Linked DNA regions of Oreochromis niloticus. The protein of the gene in region 1 interacts with the protein of each later gene in a pairwise test. Links are inferred from orthologs where the notes say so. Each region holds a gene or a part of one and is shown in the gene's direction. Other genes may lie near its edges. The genes, in order: stx4, vamp4, bet1 and stx6.

Region 1 (7,116 bases):
GTGCTCTAAAATAAGATCTGTTAATCATGCGGAGCTACTTTAGCAGAGCAGACAGGAATGAGTATAATAGGACGCCCTTAAAGACATACAATGCTAAATTGGGTTCATTCTAAGGTGTAATATCTGAGCCACTTATTTCTTTTCTGAACTGAATTGAACTGAATCTAATTTTTGCATCTAAAGCTGCAGTATATTGATTTCTTTTATATTTAAGGTAATAAGGATCGAGACAGGAGAGCTTTCCAGAGTGCAACTTTAGCCCTTTTACCAGGACGTACTGAGTTGCAAGACAGCGAGACTGAAACATGCTGACAGAGGATGTCCAAACATCCATGACAAGCATCTATAGTTTTCCTGGATTTGCCAAAGATACATTTATTTCTAATGAATATTGATCATTGTGGCTATTGTTCTCGCCATTTTTAAGAAAGATAGAGTTATCATTATATTTTTTTAAATTAATGAACGTTTCCTTGGGTAGCAGCTGATGTATGTCTGACTTAGATTCGAACGCTGACACTACTGTTCCAAAGTCGTTAATGTCGTCAATACACTATCCAGCACAAGCTTGACAACAACGTTGTACCAAGGGCTGAAGGAACATCTGGAGTAGAAGGAAGGTAAAGTACAAAGTGGTCCCAGTGCTCCCAGTAATCGGAGCATTAGGAGTTGTAACCCCAAAACTGGGAGAGCAGCTCCAGCAGATTTCAGGCACCATATCAGAGGTATTCAGAAGAGTGCAGTCTTACATATACCTCAGATGCTGTGCAGAACCTTCAAACTCCCAGAGGGTCCTACAGTACCTTAGCCCAGTTCTTCTCAACCACTGATGGTGGTGTCTCCTAACGGTACATAAGCAGCACAGATGTTCTATCCCAGTCACTCGTTTGGGTCTGTCTGTGTACGCCAGGGGTGGGCAACTTCAGGCCTCAAGGGTCAGTGTCCTGCAGGTTTTAGATCTCACCCTGCGTCAACACACCTGAATCAAATGATTAGTTCATTTCCAGGCCTCTGGAGAACTTCAAGACATGTTGAGGAGGTAATTTAGACATTTAAATCAAATGTGTTGGATCAAGGACACATCTAAAACCTGCAGGACACCAACCCTTGAGACCTGGAGTTGCCCACCCTGGTGTATGCTGTCCAATAGTCTAGAGGGAACCTTTGGACCCCCTGCAACTTTGGTCCTGGCAACCACCTCCGGTCTCTTTCATCCTTATGTCCATACTGCTCACCATTGTTCCCAGTGTGCTGTAACCTCTGGATCTCCAGCTTCAACAGTAACCATCTTCTGCTGATGTTATTGCACTGAGCTGCCAGGTCCTTCTAGCTCATTGTGGATGTTGGTTTTCTACTGATCCCACATGTGCTGCACATAACCTTTTTTATTGTGTCAGCTGGCATAGTAACATTCCACCAATTCCATATTTTCAGTCCTTCTCCATGTTTGCATTGTTCCAATAGACAATAATATATAAAGGTGAGCTTGAGACACTGGACTAAAGCTTTCCTGTAACATTTGTGTTTAGGTTAGGAGATTGTGCCACCCTGTGGACAACCAGCAGTCCTGCAGCTCAAAGAACCAGCTGCTGCAGATTATTTAACTCATTCAGTTTAACAACCATATCTTAACAATGCATCTGCATGATCGCAGTTGGTTTATTGATATAGCAATGTTTAATTTTATGAGTTGTTTTAAGATTTTATGATAAATTAATGTGAAAGCAGTGCTCTACAATTTGACTTAACATAAACAAGTTTCATTGTTGGGGCGGAGGTCAAGTTAAGGCAATCATTTGTGTTCTTTTAAAAATCCAGCAGAATTTCTTCCTGATTATTTTTTGATTACTGAAACTTCATTACTCTGTTCATCAAATCATGAGTCAGTCTCTCACTTTCTGCTTCAAGGTTCCTACAGATGCCGCCCTCGTCCTGATCAGTGCACAGCTATGAGCCTGTCCTCCTCCCACAGGGATCTTTGTTCTTGAAGGTTTCTTTGGTGTTGGGTGTTGTAGAATTTTGTAAGTAAAGCCTGCAACACGGAAAGAGCTGTGATCAAGCTATTTATTACTGCGCGCAGGAGAGCCAACACACATTTAGCATCACAGTTCACAGTCATGCCAGCTCTTCCCCTTGGGATGTCTCAGCTTCTCTTTTATACCCCCCACACACAACTCTGTGTATCTTTTAGTTACAATAGGTTTCTGTCCCACGGGCTGTGGCTGGACAGGGGACAACTCCCACTATCTTTTCCCAGGAAGCTCCTGGCGCTGGCCCTGAGTTTCATCCTTCTGAGCAAAACAGTTAGCAGATAACATAGTGAAACATCGTTAAGCAAAGCTAAGCAGTTTTCACAAGGTCATGCTGACACATACACATACTTCATCTGAGCATTCAAAGGTTATACAAAATCATACAGTGAAGTTCTAACCAGCTAAATCTACATGTAAGGATAAACTAGAATTTTTCCATAACATTGGGCCAGTTCTGCCTGGAGTTTGTTAGTTTCCTCTTAGTGCTGAGAATTTCTCAGTATTCTTTTTCTTTTCTCTTTAAATGCTGAGAGCTGTTTTTAGTTGATCCAATTTTTTGGGAAACATTTGTGTGCAACTTCCCCTTTCTTGTAAACTTCTACTTAAAGAAATACCCTTGCTTTTTCTGCCTTATCTCTTTGAGTTTTACGCAGTCCTTTTCAACTGCTCTATCTCCAAGACTAAGGCAGCATGCTTTTCCTCTAGGGCCGTTATCTGTTCTGCCTCATTGCCCAATGTCTGACTGAATTCGAAGTTCTCAGAAACATAACATTCACTGCTCGTGTTTACAGGCTCTAAAGCAGCCTGTGGTTCTTTCACTGTGATGTCACTCAGCTCAGGGTGAAGAGGTGGAGTAGTTTGGAGAACGTGTGGTGTTTCTGCAGACAGTGGGCTTCAGTGTTGGTGCCATAGGCTGTGTAGATGTTTCCAGCAGGTAGTTTAAGCACCACTGCAGACTCTTGGAGGGTCACTGTCTACTGTGGTCATGGAGCTGCAGCAGACTCCAATTTTGGTGCTCTAGCAGGCTGTTCCAAGATTTCAGTTCTTGATTTTCAGCAGATATTAGAGTTGTGACCTAAACTAAAATGTTGTAACTCCCGACTTTCAGCAGGGATCAGTTTCAAACGTCTTTCAGGATTTGTAAAGCAGGATTTTCTTGTTCTAGTGCAGTTACCTTCACATAATTTGGATCTGAATGAAAGCACTCTTCAGATTCAGAGGCTGCACTTTTCATGCCAACGCAGGAGACAGCAGATTTTAGACGGTTTTACTTTCAACTTGCTTGGACTGCACCTGTAAATTCATCACTTATAGCAAAATCTGAATTTTTTAGGCATTTAAACAAGCAAACTATGGACTGAATTGTTTCTGCCTCTGTGTGTAATGTCTTTTTTCATCTATTTTTTTTATAGGAAAAGATTTTGATTCCTCAGGCAACGGCTGTTCTCCAGTCAGTAGAAACTATTAAACAGTAGTTACAGGCCGATTGGAACAAATCAGTGTTTCTAAATTTAATTTAGTCACGCTGTTTATAATGCTGCCACAATATGACCTACATGTAACTTTTGGTGCCTAGGTGGTACAGAACAAGTGAGTGAACATAACATTAGATCTTATGTCGACATATCAACAGCATCTGCAAGTACAAGAGTAAGTGAGCAATATTACTGGCCCTATAAAACTGGCTTAATTTTAAAATTTGTAATAAGTTCTGAGGTCTGTTTTCTGTAAAGTCTACAATTGCATGTTATTACATTACAACACCCATGACCAAAATATTGTTGTTCGTCTTTGTTTGCTTTTCCTGTTTATTTTTTCCTCTTTTCCTTCACTTGTCCACTAAATTATCTATTCTCTTCTTTCTTTTTCTGTGCCTCCTTAATCTTAATATCCTAAAGTCACGACCCTTATATCCCTACTATATCTGGACAATATATGTTTATTGATCTATATAAATATTCGCACATATTTATCTTTATATGCCTAGATTATTCTACGTAGTGAGTATTTGGGAAGAAAGGAAGCCTACGTTTGGAGTCTTTCAGCAGTTCCTCCTGCTATGACAGGGGGCGCCAGTGAGTCGATGAGTTGAGTGTTGAGTGGGCCGCAGAAGAAGAGGCGCTGCCGCTGGAGTTTACTAGTTGAATGACAGCGGCGGCGTGAAGTTTGCGGATATTACGCTTTGGGAGCGGCTCGCTTTATTTCAGTGCAGCGTTTTTTTACTTTTGATTTCTTCCCTTCGCTTTTGGAAAAATGAGGGACCGGACCAAAGAATTAGGAAATGTGAGTTTCAAAGTAAACTGCTAACATTAGCCCTAGCTTGCTAGCGTGGCTAAGTTAGCCCAGTTCACTACTTTACCCGAGTTAACCAAAGAGTCTCCAGGGACAACTTAGACCAGCAGAGGGAATCAAAAAAGTGGTTAAAGTGGGATTTTTTTTGCAGATATTTCTCTTTATAAAAGTTGACTTTATTGACGTTTCACTTCCAACTTCCGTTTCAGTCCTTTCTCCTTAAAGGATAGGGCAGGCCGGGACAGGGCAGGGCTGCAGGGCTCATGATTCACATCCTCGGACAGCGAGAAAGCACTCACTGTTTTTCTTCTGTTTATGTTATTTAAAATCAATGTGACTTCAGACCGCAGAGGCTTCGGATGACGATGAGGAGGGCAAAGCGCTGATGAGCAAATCTGGAGGCTCAGAGAAGGAAAATGATGCCTTTTTCAAAAAGGTAAGGCAGAAAAATCACGCACTTCTCCCTGGAAAATCCCCCAAAATCAAATGATCTGCACTGTCCTCATTCACTGTGGTAGTTTGCGCACATTTCTGAATATCACATTTGTGTAAAAGAGAGACAAAAATGCACTGCAGAGGCTTAAATATCACAGACTGCTGCTGATGCTTCTTAGCCTGTTTTGTCAACAAATCATAGTCTGCTAAATCCCAGTCTCCTTGTACCCGAACTGTCATGAGTAAGGAACCAGAGTTAGTCACCTAATATCACAAAATGTGACTATTCTCTGCGCTGATCTTAGGCCTCTGTAATAATATGTTTGAATATTTTTTGGTTTTGATTTAAAATGGTTTGAAGAAACTGCTCATTTTATGCATATTCACCCTTTTGTCCTTGGAGTCTTATTCTTGGTATGGAAAACTCCCCCTAGAAAGTATTTTAAAGGTCCAAAAAGTGTGACTAATATTTCAGGAATGCCTTAGATATTCTCATATTTCAAGATTCAAAAAGTTTACAAGCAAAACACAGTTTACAGGTTAATATAAATCTACAAAATTGCAAATGTACAATTATGAATAATTAATGTTCGACAGTTCATCAGTGATTCAGCCTGATGGCCCGTGGATAGAAATTGTTTTTTGGGTTTTTTTGGTCCAAAGCAAAAACATGGAAAGTAGGAGACCTCTGAGCCTGATCCACTTGACCTTCTTGCCACTATAAATTTTTAGAAAGACGTTTATGTTAGTGACACCATTCACCAACAGGAGGAGAGAAGCTGGAGGATAAGGACCAAGGTTATCTGGGGAGAGGACACAAGGACGTAAGGGCAGGGAGCCACAGAGGCTGGACATCCAGTGTCAGGTTAAATAGATGTGGAGTCAGAGCAGTTTAAACTGTACTGCGTAAATAAGTGGGTTAACGGTGCTGTATGCAAGTGTTTTATTTAAAAAAAAAAAAAAATCAGCAGTTGTTCAACTAACATGAATAGTCTAGTTATAAGGCAGATTAATTGGTTAGTGAGCCATACTGAGCCTGAAGTCAGTTTCAACTGTCATGAAGGTGGCTTTTTACTTGGCTGGATCACTATAGTAACTTGGACTGAACACATGACCTGGTCTGCAGAAGGTTATGTTCAGTGTTTTGGTTAAAAATCGTCTGGAAATGCCGTGTTTTCACTGATTGAGAATATGTTGTACGTATGGTTATGTTTTTCATGCTGAGGAAAGCTGAGCAGCAGTGTAAACAGGGTGCAATCATGGAAGCTCGCTCACTGAAGAACTTTTTTCTTTTTCCATCCATAAGTCAAAATTTGTAGCTGGCGTCTTAAAATGTTGACTTTGATTTGGCCACAGACTGAAGTGGTTTCCACACCTTTGTCATCGAGCCATGGTCCATTGTTAGTCCTGAATTCACTGAATATTATGATGAATCAAGTTTAAAATTTCACAGCTTTAACTTGCAGCCGTCGCGTCAAAAACCTTTATTGCTTCGGCAGAAAATAAGAGGGTAAGTAGCAGCCAGGTGCTGCTAATCAAATGCGTGGGAAAACTACGTCATAACTTGTGACATAACTGGAACCTCCTCTTAACCCTACGCCATAACCTTCCACGTGTTGTGGGCTGCATCGACCCAGCATGTAGTTATATTTCTTGAGAGGTGCACGTCAGGTTACGGCGTAGGGTTAAGAGGGGATCTGGTTACGCTGCAGATTTATTCATGCATTACTTTACAGGACTGGTATGACTTTAATAGAGCTGTGCATAAGCAAATGTCTGCTAACCTCAATGACCTGAAACAGTGTTGAATTGCTTCCAAACAAGAAAATGATTACCTCAAGTTATGGGTGCTAAAGGTTTTTCTACAAGCTGCTGAATCGTGAAGTGGACTTTTTTTCATGTGATGGTATATTAATTCATGAATTCACAAAACAAACAATTTTCTGTAGCACTGCTTCTCTGAATTATTTGCTGCACCAGTATTGCTTTGTTTTGTGAGTGCAGTCAGAGCCTGAAGCAGAAAGCCTGTGTGATACCCATTATTGTCTCTGATGGGGGACTTTAGGTGTTATTGAGCCAGCTAACGCAAAGAAAGCTTACCTATGTTGGCATTCCTTCATAGTAAGCAGAGGCAGCTGCACCCATTTAGCTATAAGGACCGACAGAGGGAATAGGATGATGTTTGCTTGATATATGAGTTAAATTGAGCTAACAAAATAGTTCTTTTGTTCCCTAAGAAACCTAAAATTCTTTCCCTGTCATCGTCAGGTCCAAGAAATTCACGAGGGGCTCCAGCAACTCAAAAGGATGGTGTCTGACCTCGAGAACAAACAGAAAACTGTGCTGGGCGAGGCGC
Region 2 (7,873 bases), on another chromosome or scaffold:
CATTGATAATCGGTAAAAGTGACAGTTTCATAAATAAAAGTGCAAACACAGGACCACCCTGTTTCTCTAGACCTCTAACTCTAATTTGGGATTTGAAGTAGAAGGTTGCAAAAAAAAAAAGAACATGGGAGCTGTTTTTTTTTCTCTTCAAGGACACTTTACCAGTTTTTCCCAGAATATGAAGTCTGCCTGCCAGGCTTCAGGTTACTAGAGGTAAAAGACAAAACAATTACTGTGAGTGCTGAAGCATTAATCGAAGCCGAAATGCCTGTGTGACTGTTGGATCATTTGAAAGGTATCATTAGGGCATGATACCTAAATTTCAATACACTATCCAAGCCCACTAACAGGAACGATATTCATGTTTTTAATATGATACAGTTTTTGGCTGATAATGTGTTATGTGGTCCCTGGGACATATTTATGTAGATTTCTATGTAAGTGTCTTCATCCTCATATTTAGAAATCTGACAATATATTTCATTCACTCCACTTTACTTACTTTAGTACTACTTGCAGCTCATTTTTCTTGCCTTTTTTTTTTTTGTACTAAAGAGTGTCTGCAGCACTTTAAAAAAATCTGTTTCCAAGAAAAAGAGGTCTACTCTTGGTACCATCCAAACTATAGAGTTTCTGAATTTTCTTAAACGCAACTTTAGGTTTAAAGTTTTTGGAAACCGTTTAAAAAAAACTGTAATACAGATACTGATTTCTGGAATAGGAAAAATAGTTGTTTTTTTTAAATTTGTGACTATATTTCAGTTTCCTCTACCATGGCAGAAACAGACAATGGTTCTTTTGTTTGAAACTCTCACTCATGTGTATACGACAAGCATTACAAGTGAAAAACCTGGAGACTATAGAACGTGCCCAGGAGCCAGTCAGTAATAGGCGTTTTTCCAGGCACTGAAAGTCCATGGTAGCTGGAAAAGCGTCTCCTGACACGACCTGCAAATCGAATACCTTTCCCCAAAGCCCTCATGGGGAAACACAGGATGTTTTCATTCTTTATTACAAACAGAACCAACACAATGCTTATCCAAGGAAACTTGCTGTTCTAATAAGAGAGTATGCTTTGGTTAATGAAGGAATGTGCTGCTCAAGGATCCTGCGAGGAAAGGACGCCTGACTTTACGAGATTCTTAATCAGTCGTGGTTGTGCCAGAGGAGGAGGATGGCTTGATGTGGCACTGGGGAGACAGACTTTACTTCATTTTTATTTGTTATGCACGACTTACCTGAATTCTCCTGCTGTGATGAGTTTTATTTAACAGCAGATTTAAGTTAAAAATATTTTTTTGTTCCTACAATAACACGTGTACCTGGAAAAGGCTTTGATTATACACCACATGACTTACAATGCTGACATCTAAAAAAATCTGACTCCAGAAGGACATTTAATAGAGGCCATTTTCCACTCTATAAATTTGGTTTCACCAAACTCACTCTTGAATGAAGTGTCCTCAAGGGATTTTAGGGTTCAGACTAATGAATTAATCCACCATGAGGCCACTGGTGTGCACGATGGAAACAGTTGACCTAATACATATTCCTGCTGGGACTGGTCCTCTCCGTTTTCACTGTTTATGACGAAACCATGAAGCTCTCTGTGGAGGCACAGAGGGCTCCATGAATATTTCCTGTATTTAACTTCTCCAGAGGGATGTTGGGATCTAATTTCAGCCATAATCTTCTGACTTGTACACTGACTTTTGGCTACTACTTTTATCACCACTGTACTGTAAAAACAGCCAGTATAAAGAGCATATCAGAATCTGGGTGTTACAAACTTAAAATCAAGTAGTCCTAAGGGGAAGATTGTGATTTATACATAATAATAAGGTATTTCTCTTCGTTAGTCATTTCTAATTTACTTGTGTTTTGTCTGAAACAGGTCTCTCTTGTAAATGAGACACTGAGTCTCAATAGGACTACCTGTATAAATAAAGTTTAAATAAATTAAAATAAATAAGTCTCCATAAAACATGCTTAAGTACAACGGCAGTGTTTTGGAGTAAAATACAGAGAGAATGAGACAAGTAATTCCAGATATGCATAATAAAGTCATTAATTTTTTCAACAGTTAATAGTTTTGTTTCAGTCCTTAAATTAAAGTTGATTTTGAAACGTTATCACCTTGTAAACATTTCAAGACCCAATTGTACCTTTACGTAGAAAGGAAATATCTTCAAATGAATGATAATTTGCTCATATTAATCCAATATGTGAGATTTAATACAGACTATAGTGGCATGGTATACACCAATCATTTGAACTTTAAATAAAACTAAACAACAGTGGGAGCCTTCTTGTCATATTTGGTTTGCAGTTTTTAAATAGAACAAAGCATAACAGGGACTCCTGTGTTTCAGGGAAGAAGCATGACTGCTGCTCTCTGAAAACTTTATTTGCATGAAAACATACACCTGACTATATCTCAGCCCTAAAAAGCATTGACGCCATGCACAAAATGTTCTTAAAATATGTAATTAACTACTGAACTGATTGAGAGATTTAAAAAAGTTTAACTATGAGGTTATTCTACAAAGCATTTTCCCCCACATAGCGCTTTTTAAAAGATAGCAACCGCATTATGTACGGGGGAAAGGTGGCTTTAAATAAAGGGTCTATTCCACTGGGGAGATGTGTTGTATGACATTTGATGCAAACGGAATAAGCTCAGAATTTAAAAAATATAGTCTATAACCAGTCTGCTTTTTAAAAATGTTGTTAATGTCCCACAGGGAGAGAGACCGAGAGACACCATATCATAAAAGTGGACTTGCTCTACCCGAAGAGCCCAGGGTTATGCAGAGTCAGAGTCTGTACGAGGCGCTGGAAGTCCTTCACCATCCAGGGCTGTTGGTGTGTCCCCACTGCACAGGCACTGCTGCTCTCAGGGCTGATACTCTGCGGGTCATTAAATGTGATGAGGACATCTGTGGAGAACTGCGGCAGACGGAACAGGCCCAAGTGGATGGTCACTGAATTCCTTGCTTCTTCATTGAACTTAGAGACGGACTGAGTCCCAGTCAGCATCCACGCAGTGCTGCACTCTGACAGGGACAGCTCAGATTTGGGCAGAGTCACAACACTAGTCACTTCAAAAGCCCCCGGCTCCAGAGCTTTGTTGCTTCCCGCGATGTCCTCAAAGTGGTACCTGGCTGCATCCTGGTCTGCCACCTGACCCTGGTACTCCACCAACTCGACGATCAGGCTCTGGTCTGTGTGGGCGTGGGCAAACACCTCCTGGTTGTCCGGGATTTCTCTCAACTCGCTGATATCTGTGGCGCTGTGAGGGATCACAGCTGACAGGGCTCCTCCAAACAGAGGATGAGCCTCGTTAGCTGCTGCACTCTGCATTTCTCTGTGAAGCCTGTAAACAGAAAGAAACACCACAGGTGAGACCGTCTCCACCCACATAAACACCACCTACTTAACAAAAATTGTAAAGGAAAAAACAGAAGCTTTGGTGAAGTTGCTGAACACATCTGCAGCTCACCAGCTCACCTCCCACTGCACGGTCAATGTGGTTCCGGTGAAAACTTAATCTTCTTCTTCTTGTTGCGTGTGTTTTTTTTTTTTTGCCATTATAACAAACACGCTGCTGCCACCTACAGGTGTGGCAGACCTCGACAGAAACGATTTCGCAGAATAAACTTAAAAATTATAAATCTAAAGTTTCTGATTTAGTTTTCAAGCTCATAACATACATAGCAAAAAAAGAAAACAAAGAAAAGAAATATATAAGTAGGTTTAATTCGAACATTTAAATGCTGAATGTCCAAATGACGTACATGGACGTTCAACAAAACAAAGTTCCCAATATATTATTCATCTACATAAAAGTAACACAAATTTTGTGCTCAAAAAGGACAAGTATAAACTTATATGATCCCACTCCTGCTTTCTGTTTCATAGCAAGATTCACCTTTCTTTCAAATGACCTGGAAATGACACAATGACACAAATGACAAATGACAAATATAAACAAAAGACTCCCTTAACGAGGTAAAAAGCTGGATAAATCTAACATTAAACCAAAAATTAAAAAAACAAGAATAAAAGACAATAATTTCATGTAATATCTTTAAAGATGTTAAATACATCCATTAATTTTTTTTTTTGTTGCAAACCATGAATTGATTAGGTTCATTAATAATCAACACCCATTGTACCTTTAAAAAGATGTTGGATACATTAATTATGTTTGGTCTCATTTGGATTTGTGGGAAAGAAACGATTCAGTCTTTTCCTTTATGAGTAAAAATAACGTATTCTTTGTTCGAAAATGTTAAGTTGTCAGTGTTATCAGCTCAACATTTTTAAGCAACCCAAATGTTATAAAGAAGAAAGCATGTAATGTACAGAAAGAGCGGAAGAATCTGTCTATTTATAGATCAGCTAAAACTTATTTTACCGTATTTATTAGAAAAAACTAGTGGTAATATCCTTGGTACAATTCTCTGTCTCAGCACTGGCGATTGTTTGTAATAAATAGTGTAAAGGCACCATAAATACATTGGTAAAATTAATTGTTTCTTTGAAGAGACCAGATTTTTCTTCTTTCTAAACATATATTACTTTGAACTTCTTGTATAGATAAGGTGGAAGAAGACATTTTAATAAACAATGAAATCCTCATAAACACTGTAAAAACACGCACTCCTGTGACAAAAGTCAAAGCAGTCTACTTATTACACTGAAAATTGGTTTATCATTATTATTATTGTTATTATTATATTTTATATATTTCTGTGTAGAAGTGGAATATTTACTGCATAAAAGAACGTAAGGTAAAACATTTTCCGCAGGCCGTAAAACATCTGCAGCAATTTCTCCTCCTCCTCCTCCAGCTGTTTGTGTTGATTTCCTGGTCAGCTGATTCAGACCGAGCAAAGATAGGAAGAGGAGAGCTGGCATCCACAATGATCATCGTGTTTCATGGTCATTGATAGCATTTGAGATGAATCAAACAGATCCGTAAAGTCGCATTAAGCCTTCGTGTTAATTTCTGAGTTTCTGTGTGGAGGAGTTTACCGGCTTCGAGCGGCGGATCCTGTGGAAAACAGCAGGTAGCCGCGTTAGCATCCTTAGCTTAGCTTAGCTTGGTAGCTAAGCGGCCTGTCTGATACGGGTAAAATAATAAAGAAGAGTGTAACTAAGCTGTAGTAGCTTTTAAATTGTTTTTCGTATTGTGGAGTTGAAACTTCATTGTTAATTAGGTTGACAGGAATATTATTTTCTAAGATTTAGGCTGTCAAACAGCTCGACCTGCTAAAGTTGTTGACGGCTGTGATATAATGTTAATTAGCTTATGAGATTGTGAGCTTGTGTGTTCAGTTTTACTCCTTTGCTAAACTGAGGGATCCTTAAAGCTATTACTTTACTTGTAATAGAAAAAAGGGGGGAAATCGGCCGCAGATAGCCAAGCTTTACTCATTTGGTATTCCTCTCTTGATAGAAATTGATTGTGGGATTGATTTTTCATTCTTCTTCTGTTTGCTTAAAGTTGCAATCAATGAATTGATTAGGGTAATTAATAATCAACAGCCAACATTAAGCAATTTCCACAGGTCTTTTGTTCCAGTGTGAAACCAAGCCTTTCCTTTATGTAATAAATCACTGCTTTTCTTTCTGTTTTTCAGTTTTTTACCTTTAAAATTGACTCTTGAAATAGACGTCTTCCTGCTTTCCTGCCTGAGCCTTAACATGTTACGTAGATGTAACTCTGGCTTCTTTCTCTTCACACTATTCCTGCTTCAGATCTGTCCCCTGCCTCTCTTCTCTGTTTACTGGAAAGCTCTTCTCCTCTTCTGACCGCTGAAAGGCCCAGTTTTCCAGCTGCAGTGCCAGAAAAGGAATCTGAGAAAGCCACTGTGTCAGAACTAGCTGGATTCAATGGTATAAGTTGTATTGTTGGTTTAACAGAGACTCTGTGTGTGTGTGTTTGTGATTATATTACCACTGAGGGCCACATGTTGTTTAGTTCAGTGTCACAGAGGCCCTTTAATGAAGCATCTGTGTGTGTTTTGTCTTGCTCTTTGGAGCATGAAACACCCAAACACAGACTCCAGGGTGCATAATTGGAAGAACAGCATGTTTTCCATTTCCGTGTTACATGGAGAGCAATGATGACATTTCCTTTCATATCTAGTGAGACTCAACACCTGCTCCACCAGAAGGATTTGGATTTAAAACAGCTTCATAAGATATCTGTTTTTGGACTGTTTTAAAAAATATTATGTTTCTTGTATATGAGAAGCTGGAAACTCAATATCTGATCCAACATCACATCCAATTACTTTGGGGACTGGAAAAATCAGTTATCTTGAGCTACACTCTTGAGATTCCTAAACCTGATACAGTAAAGAGGCTATGTAAAGTAAAATAGCTCAGATGAATAAAATAGAATACAGATGTCTTACATTAAAGTGGCTCAATATATCCAGAACAATAAGAGTGTAGTGAACAGTGAAATAAAGTAGCTAAACAAATAGAGTTGTATTGCTGGGCCGTGAATTCACATTTAGTCATTTATAATGTTTAGATTCTCAGTATGTTTGTAAACTCTGCATGTGGTTATGTCTGTAACTCCTTTCCTCTTACCAATACTGGAATCTTCTCAATTCAGGTATCTAACTCTGTTTTAAGTTCTCCCACAGTGTGGTAAAGCTTCATTGATGACTTTTCTTCTCCTGCCCTACAGAGGGAGCCAGACCGGGAGGAGCAGCCTGAAGACAACATGCCACCGAAGTTTAAACGACACCTCAACGACGATGAGGTCACGGGATCGATTCGCAGCGAGAGGGTGAGACACAAATAGACATGGAGGAGCTGGTGTTTGGCGTTTGGGTTTGTAACAAATTGCATGCGCAGTTAGAGAAGCAAAGTAGGACATGTAGTATATTTTCTAAACCACTTATACCATTCATGGTTGGAGAGAGATGGAGCCTGTTCCTTCAGATGTTGGGCAAGAGGGTACTGGACATGCTGGACTTCTATCTCATAGGGTAACACATTACTTTTACTGTGGATTGACTGTGGATCCCATCCTGAGCGAGGAAAAAGCCCTGTATCAGATGTAGAAAGTTTATTTGTCAGATTAGTCATAATGGAAAAGCAACAAAAATAAGGGGAGCGAACCAAAACAACTTTTTTTTTAAGGGGTGAAGCTTTAGAAACTGCTATGGCCAAATGTCTGGTCCTCATCAGGTTGATCATCCCGTCCCACGCACCTCAACCTCCCCTGTCCTCCTCCTTATTCTTTATTGTGTTCATTCCTCTCTTTCCTCTGTGTCATCCTGTTTGCTGTTGTGTTGAGCTGAGATCAAAGCAAAGCTTACCGGGAGGCTTGCATAACAAAATAACCTCCCATGCTTTTCCTTCAGTGCCCGGCCTCCTGTCTTACAATAATTGCTAACAGTTTCCTTCACGTCTGCTGTCTCGAATGGAAAGAAAGAAAGAAGTTTGTACAGAAGGAGATTGTTAGTGCCTTAACTTATAAAGTATTTTATGATCTTATGGCCACCATTCCCACAGATTTTTTGCAGATGCCATTTTATTTACAGGAGAATAAATTGTATTGGCCCGACATTGACTGGCAGAATTGACACTACAGTGCATCCATAGGTGTCGCAGTTATTAGAAGGTGAATGCCATGGCTGAAAGAATTGAGATTTTAACCTTCGTTACTGCTAAGGTAATGAAATTCAAATGTAATTGATCTTTCTCATAAAAATTTCACACTGTTGGGTTTTAATATCGATTACCTTTCTTGTGTAGTCTCTAGTAGCAGTGGATAAAGTCCACCTGCCTTCAGTCCAATAAGAAACAGACTCGTTCTCTTCTCCTGTGAGAATTTAATGCAGCT
Region 3 (7,202 bases), on another chromosome or scaffold:
ACAGCAGTTCTAAACCGAGCGCTACAGCCTCAAATGTGTGATCACCTCTGGTTTTAAAGTAAGAGCACAGAACAATACAGAGAGCTTGATCAGATGATCTGAGAAGTCAGTCGCAGTGATCAGGTCTCAGTAGCTTTGAGTTTTAAGCAGGAACCTGTCCTGCTTATATTACTGCGCTTTAATATTAAATTCTTTTAACTGCTTTTTCTTTTTTTTGTAAAACAGGGAATTTATTAGAAATAATTAGAGGTCAGAAATTAATCAAGCTAACATTTAACCACTACACTAATTGTTCTTATCACAAAGAAAACATCTAGCTGTAGCATTTAGCATCAGCGGTATTCTTGAAAGTACCAGCACCTGGATAGTTCCCACACAATACACCAGAAAAAGCATTTTTTCCACACTTTAAGTATGAGATATGCCACTTTGGCCATTTGTACCTGTGTTATCGAGCAGTGTATTTATCTTCACCATAAGTAATGACTTTGTATGCAGTATTCAGACTAGAAAACAGTACCCACTGTACTCACAAAAATACTACTTTCTATAAAATGTTAACAATTTTTTCTAATTATTACAGATACTATATAATAAGTTCTTAAGAATCTTAGAGTCTGTTAAATTGTAAACTATAAACGTCCTCACTGCAGTACTGTTTACCACGGCACGTTCAAATCTGTTGTGGAGATTTCAAGCACCATTTGAAAACTGTTAGATATCTCAAGAGGATGAAAAGACATCTGTGCAAAGACTGTGCAAAGAACGGCTCAGGGACCGTGCATGCTGATCAATGCAGCCGGGCTGTTCTGCATCCACGCAATTCACTGAAGATGAATGCCAGTTTCTAGACATCCAGAAGCCTTTCTCCACTCTAAAGACCTTTTTAATAAATCCAATCCTCTCAGATACACAAAGGCAGCTGAGACTGGTGCACACAGTTCAATCAATATCCTCCCTTTCTTTGACTCATGTCAAGGTCATGCATACAGCAAAGCCGTTGGCTGAAACATAAAAAGATGACTGCTGGGGCATTGAAATGCATTATGGCAGAGGGGAGCTTAAAGTTTTATTTATTTATAAGATATTGGATTGGAATAAATTAACGTCACGAAAGTCATTCTAATCTCTTATATCATATTAGCTGTCTCCTGCGATATTGGCACAGAGCTAGGTGAGCGATGATGTATGAGGGGATAAGAAAAGCTCATCACTGCTAAACAGCACCTCTAGGATTTTGCAAATATTGAGAAACTCTTTTCTGTCCCATGCAGCGCAGATGGATGTGTCAGTAAGCCCGTGTTATTCAGCCCACAAAGAAGATTTCTTTCCATTTTATGGTGATTGCCTTAAAAACTCTTCAAAGTAAAACATCTGTCTGTGTCTAAAAGGAGCCTCATAACAATTTTGGCAACCAAAAGCATGAATGATGACTGTTGTTTTTGTGTTACGAGAAGAGATCCAGAGCACATACAGATGAACACGCAAGAAAAGATTCAAACAACATTAAATTTCATTAAAGCTAGAGGAGTTTCGACACAATATGAGTCCCTGTAGAATATTTTTAATTTTAAAAAAAAATCTGAAATATTATGAGATTCTTTTAAACTAGCCAGCACGAGAAGTTCAGCAGCCACTTAAATGTTTGCTGTGATAGCCCGAATGACATCTAATCATCCATCCGTCCTCTAATTATACCATTTCGGTTTCATGGAGGGCTGGAGCCCACCTCAGCTATCATAGAGCAAAAGGCGGGGTACCCCCTGTACAGGCTGGAAGTCTTTGTAGGACTAACACAGGTAAAAACAACCATTCGCACTCATACTCACACCTGTCCTGAATTTCTAATAACCAGTTAACCTATGACCTGCCTCAACCCACTACACTATCCTCCCTTGCTAGGTTTCTTTCCTCCATGAAATCCACAACCTGCCCACAAGACACTGTGTACTTGTTGGTCCAAGCAGCCTCTCCATCATCAACAGTTCTATGTCCACAGGGTCCAGTGAGTCCTTTAAAACTAGACTTAAAACTAATCACTCATTTGAGTCCATCTGATTGCTCTTTGTGTTTCCTGTGCCTTTTTTGGATACGACTGTATATGTTTAGCACCCACTAACACACATTTATTTATTTATTTTCTATTTCCTTGGTGGATTTTTTTGGTATTTTTTCCCATTCTACCTTTTTTTTTATAACACTTTGATCAATGTGAGTTGTTTTTTTAAATGTGCTTTATACGTCCTTCCTCCCTGAAGGAGGAATACTAAAACAAGAGACAGGAGAAACTGACACAGATTCATATTCATAATGTAAAGGAAAAAAATCAGTCACATAAAACACCCTACATTTATCACAGCTTCAGACCCATTACATGAGAATCAGGCGCTCAGATTAGAACCTCTGACATTCAGAGCCTGTGACTCTGTTAATAAAGTCTTTTGATGTCAGTGTGGAAAGATCTGAAGAAATCTCTAAAGTTGTCAGGAAAAAAAAATGGTAGGGGTCTGGCATTCAGGGATCTAAAAATTATTTGAAATGAATGAGTCGCTGTAGGGGAAAGTGACGTTTCTGCTTCTCTGTAGCCTGAGAGCAGATTTAACCCCTTTCATGCAAAGAGAAGTTTTCAAGCACTCTCAGATATGGTCACAGCATCTGCAGGTCACTGCTGCTGCTGTTGGTGTCTAAGTTTCGGAAAGAGACTGCACAAATTGGATGGTAGCTGCACCAGAAAAAATGCTTTTATTGTCTGAAAATAATATTAAGCTTGCTATTGAACATACAGGCTAAGACTGCTTACAATAATGTTGTCTAGACATAAAAGATATACTTTTGTGGTTACAATAACAGAGGATCTGTTGGGCACGGACCAAAAACAGCTTTTCCAGGGAAGATGTTTGTGAAGCATGTTGGTGGAATTTGGGGTTACTTTGTTGTGGGTAATGTGTAGATTGCAGCCACTTTGATTCTGTTTCACATGAAAGAGCTTTCAGATAGTTTGAGCCTATCTGTCTGAAAGTTTAAGGTGAAGAGGAAGTGGACCTTTTATCAGCATCATAATCCTAAGCACTGTAGCAAATCCACCATGAAATGGTTGAAAAAAAGGACAAATGGAGAGTGATGGAATGGCTTATAGTGGTCAAAGCCAAGATTTAGATCCCAGTGAAATTTTGTGGGATGTTTGTGCATCTGACTGCTTTCAGTCGTGAGAAGTAAGAGAAGGAATTCTGCTTGGAAGAGAGGTCAAAAATTCCAGCGATCTGAAGTCAGAGACTGGTGGACAGTTATCCAAAATCCCTACAGGTTTTTTTTCTGCAATACAGGGGCAACATCAGCTTTATATCGCATTAAAAAAAAGAAAGAGCCAAGTTACTTTGGCTTCTTTCGATATATGACTATAACTCTTTAAATACTGTCACCTCACTACGGGCTTGAGGCACACAGACTAAAGCCTGATGTGGATATGCTTACTTGTGATAAAAGTTTCCCTTTGTTAGTGGGTTTGTCAAATTTCAAGGTGTAGCTTTTGAAAATTTCCCTGCAGGGATACACACTTGACTATATGCTTTAGAGCACCGTGTCAAATATGTGACTCGGGCGGCAGTACTAGCCTTCCAAAGGCTCCAATTTGTACCACTGGATGTCTTTGGACAGTGTGAAAATTGCAGTGAAATAATTAAAATTTCAAATAAAATACACTGCTTTTCATTTTATTTTGTCAGCTTTACTACACATGAGTAAAGAAAGTCCACATGTTAAAGTTTTGTGCTCTTCAAAGCAATCTTGTATATGGAATGAGAACAGGAAAAAATAACATGTTTTTTTGAAATCACAATTATTTTTTAATGAAGATTTCTCAAATTGTTCATCCGTTAAATGAAAAGAATAATTTAACAAAAAAAACCCCCAAAACAATACCTTCTGTCATCTGGAAAATATCAAAGGGAATTGAGTAAGTGGCGTCTTTCTCTCAGGCTTATGCTTTCTTAAGTACTTCTTGACAGCTAAAGAATGGAAACAGTTCAGATGGGTGTTGTTTTATGCAGAGGTTTTACTGGTCTGGCCCACCTGAGATCAAACTGGGCTGTATGGTATGGCCCATGACATAAAATAAGTTTGACAACCCCACTGTGGACACACTGCAGGGTACACAGACAAACTAACATCAGATTATTTTTGTGTGGGCCTTTCATTCTATAACATATGTGCAACCTTGTTACTGAAACCTATTCAGTGTGGAAAATAAAAAGACAAAACAGGGAATGACTTGACAATAAAAACATTATTTTAAAAATATAAGTGACATGATTTAGGCGATTACTAACACCATGTATAGTATAAAGGTCAGACCTCCATGACATATTTAGTATTTTTCCAATGTTTTCTTATTAGATTGAGCGTGTCACTCTAACAATTACACTACATTTACTACATTTATATTCCATTACACTCCACTGCCAACTAACAGTGATTTGCAACACTGTACATAAAAGAAATTTATAGAAAAAAACATTACCAACATATAAATATTATTAAACAACATGTCATTTTTCCTGAGTATTTATTTGTCACACCTTGAAAAGTTAAGGTAAATTTTAAAAGTTGCTTAAATTAATCTAAATTAATTGTATTATTGTAATGTATTGAAACTGAATGGATATTCAGTATGACAGTAACGGGGTTGCGCAAGGCATAGCAAACAACATCTAATCAAAAATACACTTATAAAATATGTATCTTTGTCTAATTTTTGATGGCTAATTATTTTTTTACTTAAAATTTAATCTATTACATAATGAGCAATTTACATTTTTCCTTTTGAAACTGATTTAATAACTTTTGAAACAAGCTTACATACGGTTTTCCTTTTTACGCGTTTTTCTCCATTTGTCCTCGTCGGCCGCCGTATGGTGTCGTGGCGTTTGTGTTGTGAGCAGACGTGATACAGTTACCGGATCAATCAGAAGTCGAACTTCATTCTTATTTAGTCTTTTAATATAAACCATTGGACAGTGTTAGCTTCGGTCGGGTCAAAATGAGGCGCGCCGGACTGGGTAAGAAACAAACAATTAAACCAAAGCTTCTCTTTTCCCATACGTAGCATTTGTTGCTAACTAGCTAACTAAAGCTAGCTTATGTTATCAAATGTTTGTTGTTTTGCACTCTGAGTACTCTGTTGTTCATGAACACTTTATTAACGCTTAGTGTATTTTAATACAGGTGAAGGAGGCTCGGGGAACTATGTAGCTAGTGGATATAGTGTATACGAGGAAGAAAATGAACACCTACAGGAGGGTCTCAGGGCTAAAGTCAACGCTTTGAAAAGTGTAAGTAACTGCTGATTACGAGCTTTTTGTTGTTATTTTTAACAGTCAGTGAATATTGCAGCAAAGAGTTTCATATAAATGAGTCGACCTTTTCCGTATGTACTCAAAATGTACACTAATTTCTTCAATTACTATCTTTTACAAGTCACGTAATCATAATGAATTGATTTTTACAGCTCTCCATTGACATTGGCACAGAAGTCAAATACCAGAATAAAATGCTGGAGGATATGGTGAGTTTTACTTTGGAGTACGCTGGACCACTTGCTGCTACAGCAAAAACAAAAAAACAACATTTAGTGTTGTCTGAGGTTGGCAGGGAGCTATTTTTGCCTGCTTTGTGTGTTGTTTTATGTTGTGGTTTGACTTATATTGGTCAAAGTCACTGAGAAACCCCTCAAAACTAAAGAATTTGAGTAAATGATTCAGACTCCAGAAATGTCTCCCACCACTTGAATATTGTTCTCTGCTGGACTTTTGTAATCATGTAATCAGGGTGGCTGTAGCTCAGGAGGTGGAGCAGGTCATCTACTAATCAGAAGGCTGGTGGTTTGACCCCTGGCTCCCCCTGGTCAGCATGCCAAATATTCTTGGACAAGATATTAGTTAATGCATCACTCTGACCCATCCATAAGATTATGAATGTGTGTGAATGTTGGTTAGTAAGCAGTTGAAATCATAGAAGAAAGTGCTTGTGTGAATGGGTGAATGTAGCATATTGTATTTAGTGCTTTGAGTACTCCAGCAGAGTAGAAAAGCTCTATATAAGAATCAGTCTATTTACCATTTACCACTTTTCCTCTCCACTTCTCACTTTAGGACACAGACTTTGACTCCACAGGCGGCCTGCTTGGTGCCACCATCGGCAGAGTCAAGAAGCTGTCCCGGGGCAGTCAGACCAAACTGCTGTGCTACATGCTGCTCTTCTGCTTTTTCGTCTTCTTTGTCCTGTACTGGTTTATCAGTTTGAGGTGATAGGAGGATCTTATTGGACTTTGCTCTTCGGTTCTTCTCTTCCAGTTTGTGCTACAATGACACATCTGAACCAGACCAAGATAAAGAGAAAAGGCAGGGATGTTTTTTTTTTTTTTTTTAAAGTCATTACACTTTTATGTGCCACAGTGTCAGGCTTTCAAACAATGACTCGAGAAGAAGTTTAGAAAGGTGTACTGATGCTGTTTGATGGAGTACTAAAAAGTAAAAGTGGTTTAGGACAATGTCTGAGAAAATCAATAATCACAGGAAATGTAGTGCATACTGTATGCATAAACGAAGCAGACAATATCAGTATTTACGGTGTTTATACTTAATATCTGACCAGTTAACCTGGATTGAGAAGAGCATGATTTATGACTGTAGACGATACAGCAGTGTCGAGAACTGTAACTCTCAGCAATCAGCTGAGTTCAAATTGAACAAGTTATAGAATGATCTGCATAATCTAGTGTATGCGCTTTTAAGGGTGAAAGGACACATTCCTATTGTCATATGACGACCACACGTGCGACAGTAGTGTACGTCATTGTTTCATCTTTATTGTAAAAATATTAATGTAAATAAACAAATTTTATGCCCTGGATTAGCTGGTGTAACTTCATGCTGTTGGATGTGCTGAAATGTCTTCAGCATGAAAATCTCAAACATAAAACATCCATTTTTATTAAAGAACATTATTTTTCTTTATTCTAAACAATAATTACAAAAGTAACAAATTACATTCAATCAAAACTCTGCATTGTTGCACATGTGTACAGACAAGGAAGGGGGGGGGGCTTCATTATTCTGTGTGATTGACCGTATGAGGATGTCTTTATGACCACATACAGTATTGTTAAAAAGGCAAAATCTCCTCATCTGAGTAACTGATCAAAGTGC
Region 4 (7,506 bases), on another chromosome or scaffold:
TTTCTTTCAAATCCTGTTGTTTTCCTTCAAATTCCGTTGTTTTCTTTCAAATTCTGTTGTTTTCATTCAAATACCGTTGTTTTCATTCTAATTCCATTGTTTTCATTCAAATTGTGTTGTTTTCATTCTAACTCCGTTGTTTTCATTCAAAATCTGTCATTTTCAGTTAAATTCCGTTGTTTTCATTCTACTTCTGTTCCTTTCATTCAAATTCCGTTGTTTTCAATCAAATTCCATTGTTTTCATTCAAATTGTGTTCTTTTCATTGAAATTCTGTTGTTTTCATTCTAATTCCGTTGTTTTCATTCAAATTCTGTTGTTTTCATTCAAATTGTGTTGTTTTCATTCAAATTGTGTTGTTTTCATTCTAATTCTCTTGTTTTCATTCTAACTCCGTTGTTTTCATTCAAATTCTGTTGTTTTCATTCTACTTCTTTTCCTTTCATTCAAATTCCGTTGTTTTCATTCCAATTCTGTTCTTTTCTTTCAAATTCTGTTGTTTTCCTTCAAATTCCGTTGTTTTCTTTCAAATTCTGTTGTTTTCATTCAAATACCGTTATTTTCATTCAAATTCCGTTCTTTTGATTCTACTTCTATTATTGTCATTCTAACTCCATTGTTTTCATTCAAATTCCGTTGTTTTCATTCTACTTCTATTGTTGTCATTCTAATTCCGTTGTTTTTATTCAAATTCTGTTCTTTTCCTTCAAATTCTGTTGTTTTCATTCAAATACCGTTCATTTAATTCAAATTCCGTTCTTTTGATTTGAAATTTTTGTTTTCTTTTTCTTTTCGTTCAAATTCTGTTGTTTTCGTTCAAATTCTGTTCTTTCCTTTAAAATTCTGTTGTTTTCAGTCAAAGTGCATGTGACAAAGTGGAGGAGCAGTTGCAATGCTCTCACTTGTCCCATATGTGTTTACCTTTTTTTGCACATTGTACACATTATTCTGTTTCTATGTATTTGCTATGCTTTGCTATTTGTCAAGTATTGCTTCACTCACTATCCCGGGTTTGTTTGTGTAAGCGTTCTGTTGTCAGCAAATCAAACATTCTGCAAATTAAGACAAATACTTAGTTATGTTTCTTTATATTTTATTATGTTACAGATTAAGTCATTTGTTCATACTTACTTTGTTTGTCTTTTCAGTCTTCATGAGGGTCAGGTGTGGGGAAACGCCCGCCTGGCATTTCCTCATTTTAAAATCCTGATGATGTCAAACATGACATCAGCAGGTCAAACCAAGTGGAGGGGTTTCTTTTTCCATAGTGATGCTTCCTTTTGTTTGTGTTAAGGTTTAAAGGAATTTGTTGAATGTTTTTCTTTTTGTTAATACTGCCATTTAGTTGTGTAAATGTGTATATTAGAAGTGTGAAGAGGTTTTGTGTTTTTAAATCATCTGTGTAGAGTTTTAGATCCCTCAGTTTGAGTGAGTGGTACTGGCTGGGCAATTGGAGGGAAATTGATGGCCCTATTTAAAGCCAGTCTCTACCAGATGCAGGAGCTGAGCTGAGCTGAGCTGAGCTACCAGATCCATGTTATGTTGAGTTTTGTTAATAGAGTTTATTTCGGGGGAAGTTTTGTTAAGTTACATTAAATTAAGTTCACTGTAAATAAATTGCTCACCTTGGAAATCTGAAATGTCTGCCTAGTCTGCTTCCCTACCACCTTCCTTGACGTTCGAGTCTGACTACTTCACAGTGCATTGTTTTCTAATTTTCCCCTTTTATTAAAGTTCTATTGTTTGTTTTGAAATTCTATTGTGTTGTTGTTTTCAAACTCTGTTGTTTTCATTCTACTTCTGTTCTTTCCTTTAAAATTCAGTTGTTTTCATTCAAATTCCGTTGTTTTCATTCTACTTCTGTTGTTTGTTTTTCAAATTCTGTTCTCTTTCTGTTCTCTTCATTCAAATTCCATTGTTTTCATCTTAATTCTGTTCCTTTCATTCTAATTCTGTTGTTTTCATTCAAATTCAAATTTGAAAACAAACAACAGAATCTGAATGAAGACAACGGAAGTTGAATGAAAACAACAGAATTTGAATTAAAAAAAACAGAATTTGAATGAAAAATGAAATTTGAAAGAAAACAACAAAATGTGGATGAAAAACAACAGAATTTGAGTGAAAACAATAGAAGTTCAATGAAAACAACAGACTTTGAATCCAAATAAAAGAATTTGAATGAAAACAGCTGAATTTGAATGAAAACAACGGAATTTGAATGAAAACAACTGAATTTGAATGAAGACAACATAAATTGAATGAGGGGTGGCCATCTGCCGCAACCAGATGGGGGTCAATAGATGAAGCCAGGACAAAGACATGCTGTGGAAGTGAGCCAGTAACTGTGATTGGTCAGATCATGCCAGTCTTGCCCCTTTTGTATGAACACTGGGACACTCTGGGTTGTCAGCAATGGCTTCCTGTGACTGCAGATCCTAAGTGCTGATGTTGGGATAAGTAAATCCAGATAATGCAAACAAACCCTGGCTATGCTGAGCTCACATTGCACAGCAGGGTACTGAATGCGAAACTGTCGTTCTTTTATGGATAACTCCTGTTTTGTTGAGTATCGCTTCAGGTGGTCTGAGAGCAGATGACGAGGCACTCTGAAGAAATCTATCTGCAGAATGCTGAGAGCACCAGGATAAACACTGTCAGTACTGTGACCTCTGACTTTTAATAGGAGCTCAGAGAGCTGTCACCTGAGTGAAGCTGATGTTAGATTGTATTAGAAACATTAAAGCAGAGTTTGTATGCAGTGATGGCAGAAATGATGAGCATGTCTATAAAAATTAGGTGACCCTGAATCCTCCCTTAGTTATGCTGCAATAGGCATAGGCTGCTGGGGGACTCCCATGATGCATTGAGTTTTTCCTTTTCAGTCACCATTCTCACTCACTATGGGTTAATAGACCTCTCTGCATTGAATCGTACTTGTTATTAATCTCTGTCTCTCTTCCACAGCATGTCTTCTATCCTGTCTTCCTTGGAAGACAGTGTTTCTTTTCAGTGCCTTGGTGAATCACAGCCTCAGTGTCATCGAACTTCTTGCAGACGCAGACCGAGTTGGGGGGTAAGGCCTGGATTTCAGGTGACTGAGGCAGCTTTGGAAACAAGGAATTGGTGGGAAAACTTGTCATTTCCTTGAGTCATCGGGATATGTTATGGTTCCCTCACTGGGTGTTTATGGCAGACCGAGCTGTCTCCAGTAAGTAATTTCTGATGTGCCAGCAGATTTAATAGAGTGTAAAAACTTTCTTGCTTTCTGTCTCTATAAGACCCATAATATCAGACCAAATATTACCCCTCCTCCTTCCTCTCTGGGCCCATGCCTTAACCGTCCACTACTCTTAGACAAAATAAGCAATCTCTCTGAAGTGGCTCGTAAAATGAAACCACCCTCTTGCCAACTTGACATTTTACGAACCTCACTATTCAAAAAGGTCTTTCACACCTTTCACACCATGTGTTCTTAAGGTAATGAATAATTGCTTTGTTGCTACATATTTCAAACAGGTTATTATTTACCCTCCTTTAAAAAAGCCCAATGCTAACCCCGCCACTTGAGAATTGTAGGCCAATTTCAAAATTCCCTTTTATTCTGAAAAAGTGGTGGCCAACCAGCTAACAGAGGTTTGAACTGCTTAATTTCAGTCTGAGTTTTGCTAGATGCACTCCAATATCCACCATACTTTGTAGAGTATCAAATTATATTTTAATGTGTAGAGACATGGATGAATATTCTTTTCTCTCCTTAAAGACCGTAATTATGTTATAAAGAACTGGATGACAGCAAAATATCTGTCTTTGAATTAATAAAAAACACATGAAGTTCTGATCTGTGCACCTGACAACTTTGTTCCCATAGCAACTAAAAATCTTGGACCACTCTCATGTTCAGTTTCCTCCACTTTGAGAAATCTGGGTGTTACCTTTGATCAGGTGTTCAACTTGGAAAAGCATGTTGGCTGTCCTGTCCAAAGTTGTTTTCATCGTCTGCAGAACATTGCCCGTCTTAAACACCCTCAAAGTTGAAACCTTGGTAGAAAAATAAGTCCAGTATTATAGAATGAAACCAAAGGCACCCGCAGTTGCCTTTGACGGTGCAAAACGTTTCATCGACAGTGTTGTGTTTGTTGGGGAGAAAACAAACATACAATACTGCACTTCAGAGTCACACTGCTAGCGATCGAAGATTTATGTAAATTTGACAAGCTGAACGCATTCTGTACTGTACAGGACCACGGCACGAGATTGATTGACAATGATCTACAGCCAGTTAGGACGCAGAACACAATGCACTGTAAAAAAATAAAAAAATAAAAAATTCATGCAAAATTGCACACAAAAAAAAAAATCCGCGAAAAAGCGAGTCCGCGAAAGGTGAACCGCGATATAGCGAGGGACCACTGTATAATATTTCAATTAAATGTTATTTCCCCGCAACTGCTGGTGGCGCTGTTTTCGTGTTTGGAAACTGTAATAAGAGTCGGAGAAGAAGAAAAAGTGTGTCATCGCGGAGCTGTTTCCGGTGCTACGTGTAAACAAAGCCCGTTAGCGGCTCCGTTAGCGGCTTCGTGAGGACGGACCGGCGGAAATCAGAATCCGCGGATTCGGTTACGAGAAAGTGGGTGATGGAGTGAGCAGAGCCGGCGGGATGTCCATGGAAGACCCGTTCTTCGTCGTCAAAGGGTCAGAACTGCGCCGCTAACACAGAGCTAGCAGCTAACATTAGCCTGCGGACAGGTGATAGCTGATCGATAATCGATCTGATCATCGATCTGTTTCCGTCAATAGCGAGACCAACGTGCGTGCCGGAGCAGATTCACGGCAGCTAACGTGCTAACGTTAGCATAAATGTGTCTTCACACTTAGTTTATTAGCATGTTAGCCTGTTAGCTTTGTGTGTGTTTTTTTTTTATCAGATTAAAGTTTTAGGAGGTGTTTTAGACCGTGTGTGTACCACGATGATGATGATGATGATGATGATGATGACAAAGAGTGAGAGACTCTATTTAGATCAAATTTACCAGCTTCTGTTTGGAGCAGGTGGAATGAAACTGAAACAGCAACAATTAAAATAATATAATAATTAGATTTGGATAGGCGGCAGAGAATGAATGAATGAGTGGGTGAATAATAATAATAATATTGTTATTAATAGTAATGATGACATTTCCAGATAGGTGTGTGTTTATCAGAGAGTCACAGACCTCCTGTATGTTGTGGAGGTGAAGCAGTTTGTGCAGCAGGTGGTGCAGAGGGAGGTCAGGATGATCCGTGGTGGAGAACAGTTTGTGCACTGGCTTCGTTTCCATCACAGCTTTATAGTGTCTGCAGCCAATCACAGAACCCTCTCCTGATCACTTTCTACAGTCTGTTGGTGTCTCCAACTTTTATGATGTTTCTCCTCAGTGATCTGTGAGGGGTGGGGTGTGTGTTCTCTCATGATGTTCCCATTGAATCCCAAAGTGAACTGTGTCTCCTCAAACGTATAAACCACCACACAGCAGCAGCTGCATCGTGTTAAATGAAAGTGACCCTCATGATGATTGTATAATACACTGTCCAAACTTCAGAGGCTTAAGACGTTTTCACCTCTGATCTCAGGTGGGCTGAGGCTGCCCTCTCTAGCACCTTAATCACTTGTCACATGAGGGAACACCCGTATCTTCTCCTGATTCACACACAGGACCACAGCTTGTGCTTATATCGCTTCTGATTTCAGCCTGTTTGAACGTTACAGTTGAGATGTTTGATTTTATTGATCAGTGATTAATTAACCTGTTAACAGGTGTAACATTACTTCACCTAATAGGTTCCTTTCTATAAGTAGCTTTTCTAATGATTACAACTATAATAAAGTGTGGGTCTTATTCACAAAACTGTTTGTATGAATGTGTCATGTTGTGATTGATCTATTACTTATCAATATTTTCTCACCTGAATTTGTTCAGATTTAGACACATTTTGTTTTGACAAATCAGTTCCTTCACATGTTTTCTTCTTTTTCATATTTTGTGTGGAGAAAGGGGGACATGGCAGAGTACAGATAGTGAGCCATGTGATTTTAAAAACATCTTGATTCCTTGGCTCTGTAGAAGAACAACCAGGTGGCTGTGCAGATTTGACTGAAATTGTTGCTGGACATTTCAACACTGATCAGTAAACGATCAATAAAGTTGGCCCTCCAGTTTTGTGTTTATTTAGTTTTCCAGTTACCTTACGTCACATGAAAACTCCCTGCAGCAGATAGACCTGGTTCTGTTTCTGGTTTGTGCTATTAAGGTTCCTCTGAAGCTCCGCTTCACCTGTTTGGTTTTTTGTTTGTTTGTTTGTTTTTTAGCGAGGTGCAGAAAGCAGTCAACGCTGCTCAGAGCCTCCATCATAGATGGAGCGAACTGATGGCGGAGGGAGGCGGAGCCTCCAAGGAGGAGATAGACTGGACGACCAATGAGCTGAGGAACAGCCTGCGCTCCATCGAGTGGGACCTAGAGGACCTTGACGAGACAATCAATATCCTTCAAATGTGAAGCCAGCAGAAACACGCACAGGTGTATATAAAGATGTACTGGAAAGGTAAATACAGTTTTATGATTAGAGCATCTGAGATTGGCTGATTCGTTCAGCTGTGGAAAAAAGAAAGAATGAAGAAGAAGAGGAGATGTGTATCACCTCAAAACTCTGGACAGTGAAGACAGTTTTGTTTGTAAATCCTCACATAGACCTGGCGCACAAGGTGAGATGGAACAGTTTGATTGGTTCATAAATGGTTAGAGTCAGTTTGATGACAATTTAATGAAGAAGAGGAGGTTAACAGACTCCTCCCCTCCCACTGCATCTGAAGCTGCCGATTGACACCTGTTTCCTCGTCCATGCTGAGAGCAGATCAATCAATTAGTAATCATTAATTACATATTTACAAACACTGAAATTGGCTCCAATCAATCACTGATTGTGAAGACAGAGTAAGTGATCGTGTTGAATTTATTAGAACAGGTCCCTCTTCTATGGAACCAGCTTCTAGTTTGGATTTAGGAGACAGACACTATTTCTACTTTTAAGATTAGGATTAGGCTTCAAACTTTTCTTTTTGCTAAAGCATATAGTTAGGGCTGGATCAGGTGACCCTGAATCCTCCCTTTGTTATGCTGCAATAGGTGTAGGCTGCTGGGGGATTCCCATGATGCACTTTCTTCTTCACTCACTATGTGTTTATACACCTCCCTGGATTTAGTCATTAGTTATTATTAATCTCTGGCTCTCTTCCACAGCATGTCTTGGTTCTGTCTTCATCCCCACATCCCCAACTGGTCTCTCAGAAGGCCACCCCTCACTGAGCATGGTTCTGCTGGAGGTTTCCTTCTGTTAAAAGGAAGAAACCTCCACCTTTCTACTGTCGCCAAGTGCATGCACGTAGGTCGTCTGATTGTTGGGTTTTTTTCAGTTTTCTCGGGCCTTTACCTAACACTATAAAGCAACTGTTGTTGTGATTTTTCGTCA

The links.
Region 2: the proteins of stx4 (region 1) and vamp4 interact in binary tests that used the Homo sapiens proteins (3 or more experiments, as listed by UniProt). The two-hybrid records come from large-scale screens. The link is inferred for Oreochromis niloticus from reciprocal best matches to the Homo sapiens genes STX4 and VAMP4.
Region 3: the proteins of stx4 (region 1) and bet1 interact in binary tests that used the Homo sapiens proteins (3 or more experiments, as listed by UniProt). The two-hybrid records come from large-scale screens. The link is inferred for Oreochromis niloticus from reciprocal best matches to the Homo sapiens genes STX4 and BET1.
Region 4: the proteins of stx4 (region 1) and stx6 interact in binary tests that used the Homo sapiens proteins (3 or more experiments, as listed by UniProt). The two-hybrid records come from large-scale screens. The link is inferred for Oreochromis niloticus from reciprocal best matches to the Homo sapiens genes STX4 and STX6.

What each region holds. Positions count from the first base shown.
Region 1 is NC_031973.2:5,168,793-5,175,908, forward strand, and holds the start of stx4 (syntaxin-4), read left to right. Parts: upstream 1-4,103; 5' UTR 4,104-4,286; coding exon 4,287-4,316; intron 4,317-4,668; coding exon 4,669-4,761; intron 4,762-7,028; coding exon 7,029-7,116. UniProt on the Homo sapiens protein: Plasma membrane t-SNARE that mediates docking of transport vesicles. Necessary for the translocation of SLC2A4 from intracellular vesicles to the plasma membrane.
Region 2 is NC_031986.2:38,756,542-38,764,414, forward strand, and holds the start of vamp4 (vesicle-associated membrane protein 4), read left to right. Parts: upstream 1-4,857; 5' UTR 4,858-5,075; intron 5,076-5,766; 5' UTR 5,767-5,901; coding exon 5,902-5,904; intron 5,905-6,709; coding exon 6,710-6,811; intron 6,812-7,873. Other genes in the region: rangrf (ran guanine nucleotide release factor), read right to left, coding at 2,788-3,363. UniProt on the Homo sapiens protein: Involved in the pathway that functions to remove an inhibitor (probably synaptotagmin-4) of calcium-triggered exocytosis during the maturation of secretory granules.
Region 3 is NC_031985.2:24,358,171-24,365,372, reverse strand, and holds bet1 (BET1 homolog), read left to right. Parts: upstream 1-4,847; 5' UTR 4,848-5,035; coding exon 5,036-5,054; intron 5,055-5,220; coding exon 5,221-5,327; intron 5,328-5,503; coding exon 5,504-5,560; intron 5,561-6,146; coding exon 6,147-6,302; 3' UTR 6,303-6,692; downstream 6,693-7,202. UniProt on the Homo sapiens protein: Required for vesicular transport from the ER to the Golgi complex. Functions as a SNARE involved in the docking process of ER-derived vesicles with the cis-Golgi membrane.
Region 4 is NC_031986.2:36,180,031-36,187,536, reverse strand, and holds the start of stx6 (syntaxin-6), read left to right. Parts: upstream 1-4,487; 5' UTR 4,488-4,660; coding exon 4,661-4,695; intron 4,696-6,349; coding exon 6,350-6,519; intron 6,520-7,506. UniProt on the Homo sapiens protein: SNARE promoting movement of transport vesicles to target membranes. Targets endosomes to the trans-Golgi network, and may therefore function in retrograde trafficking.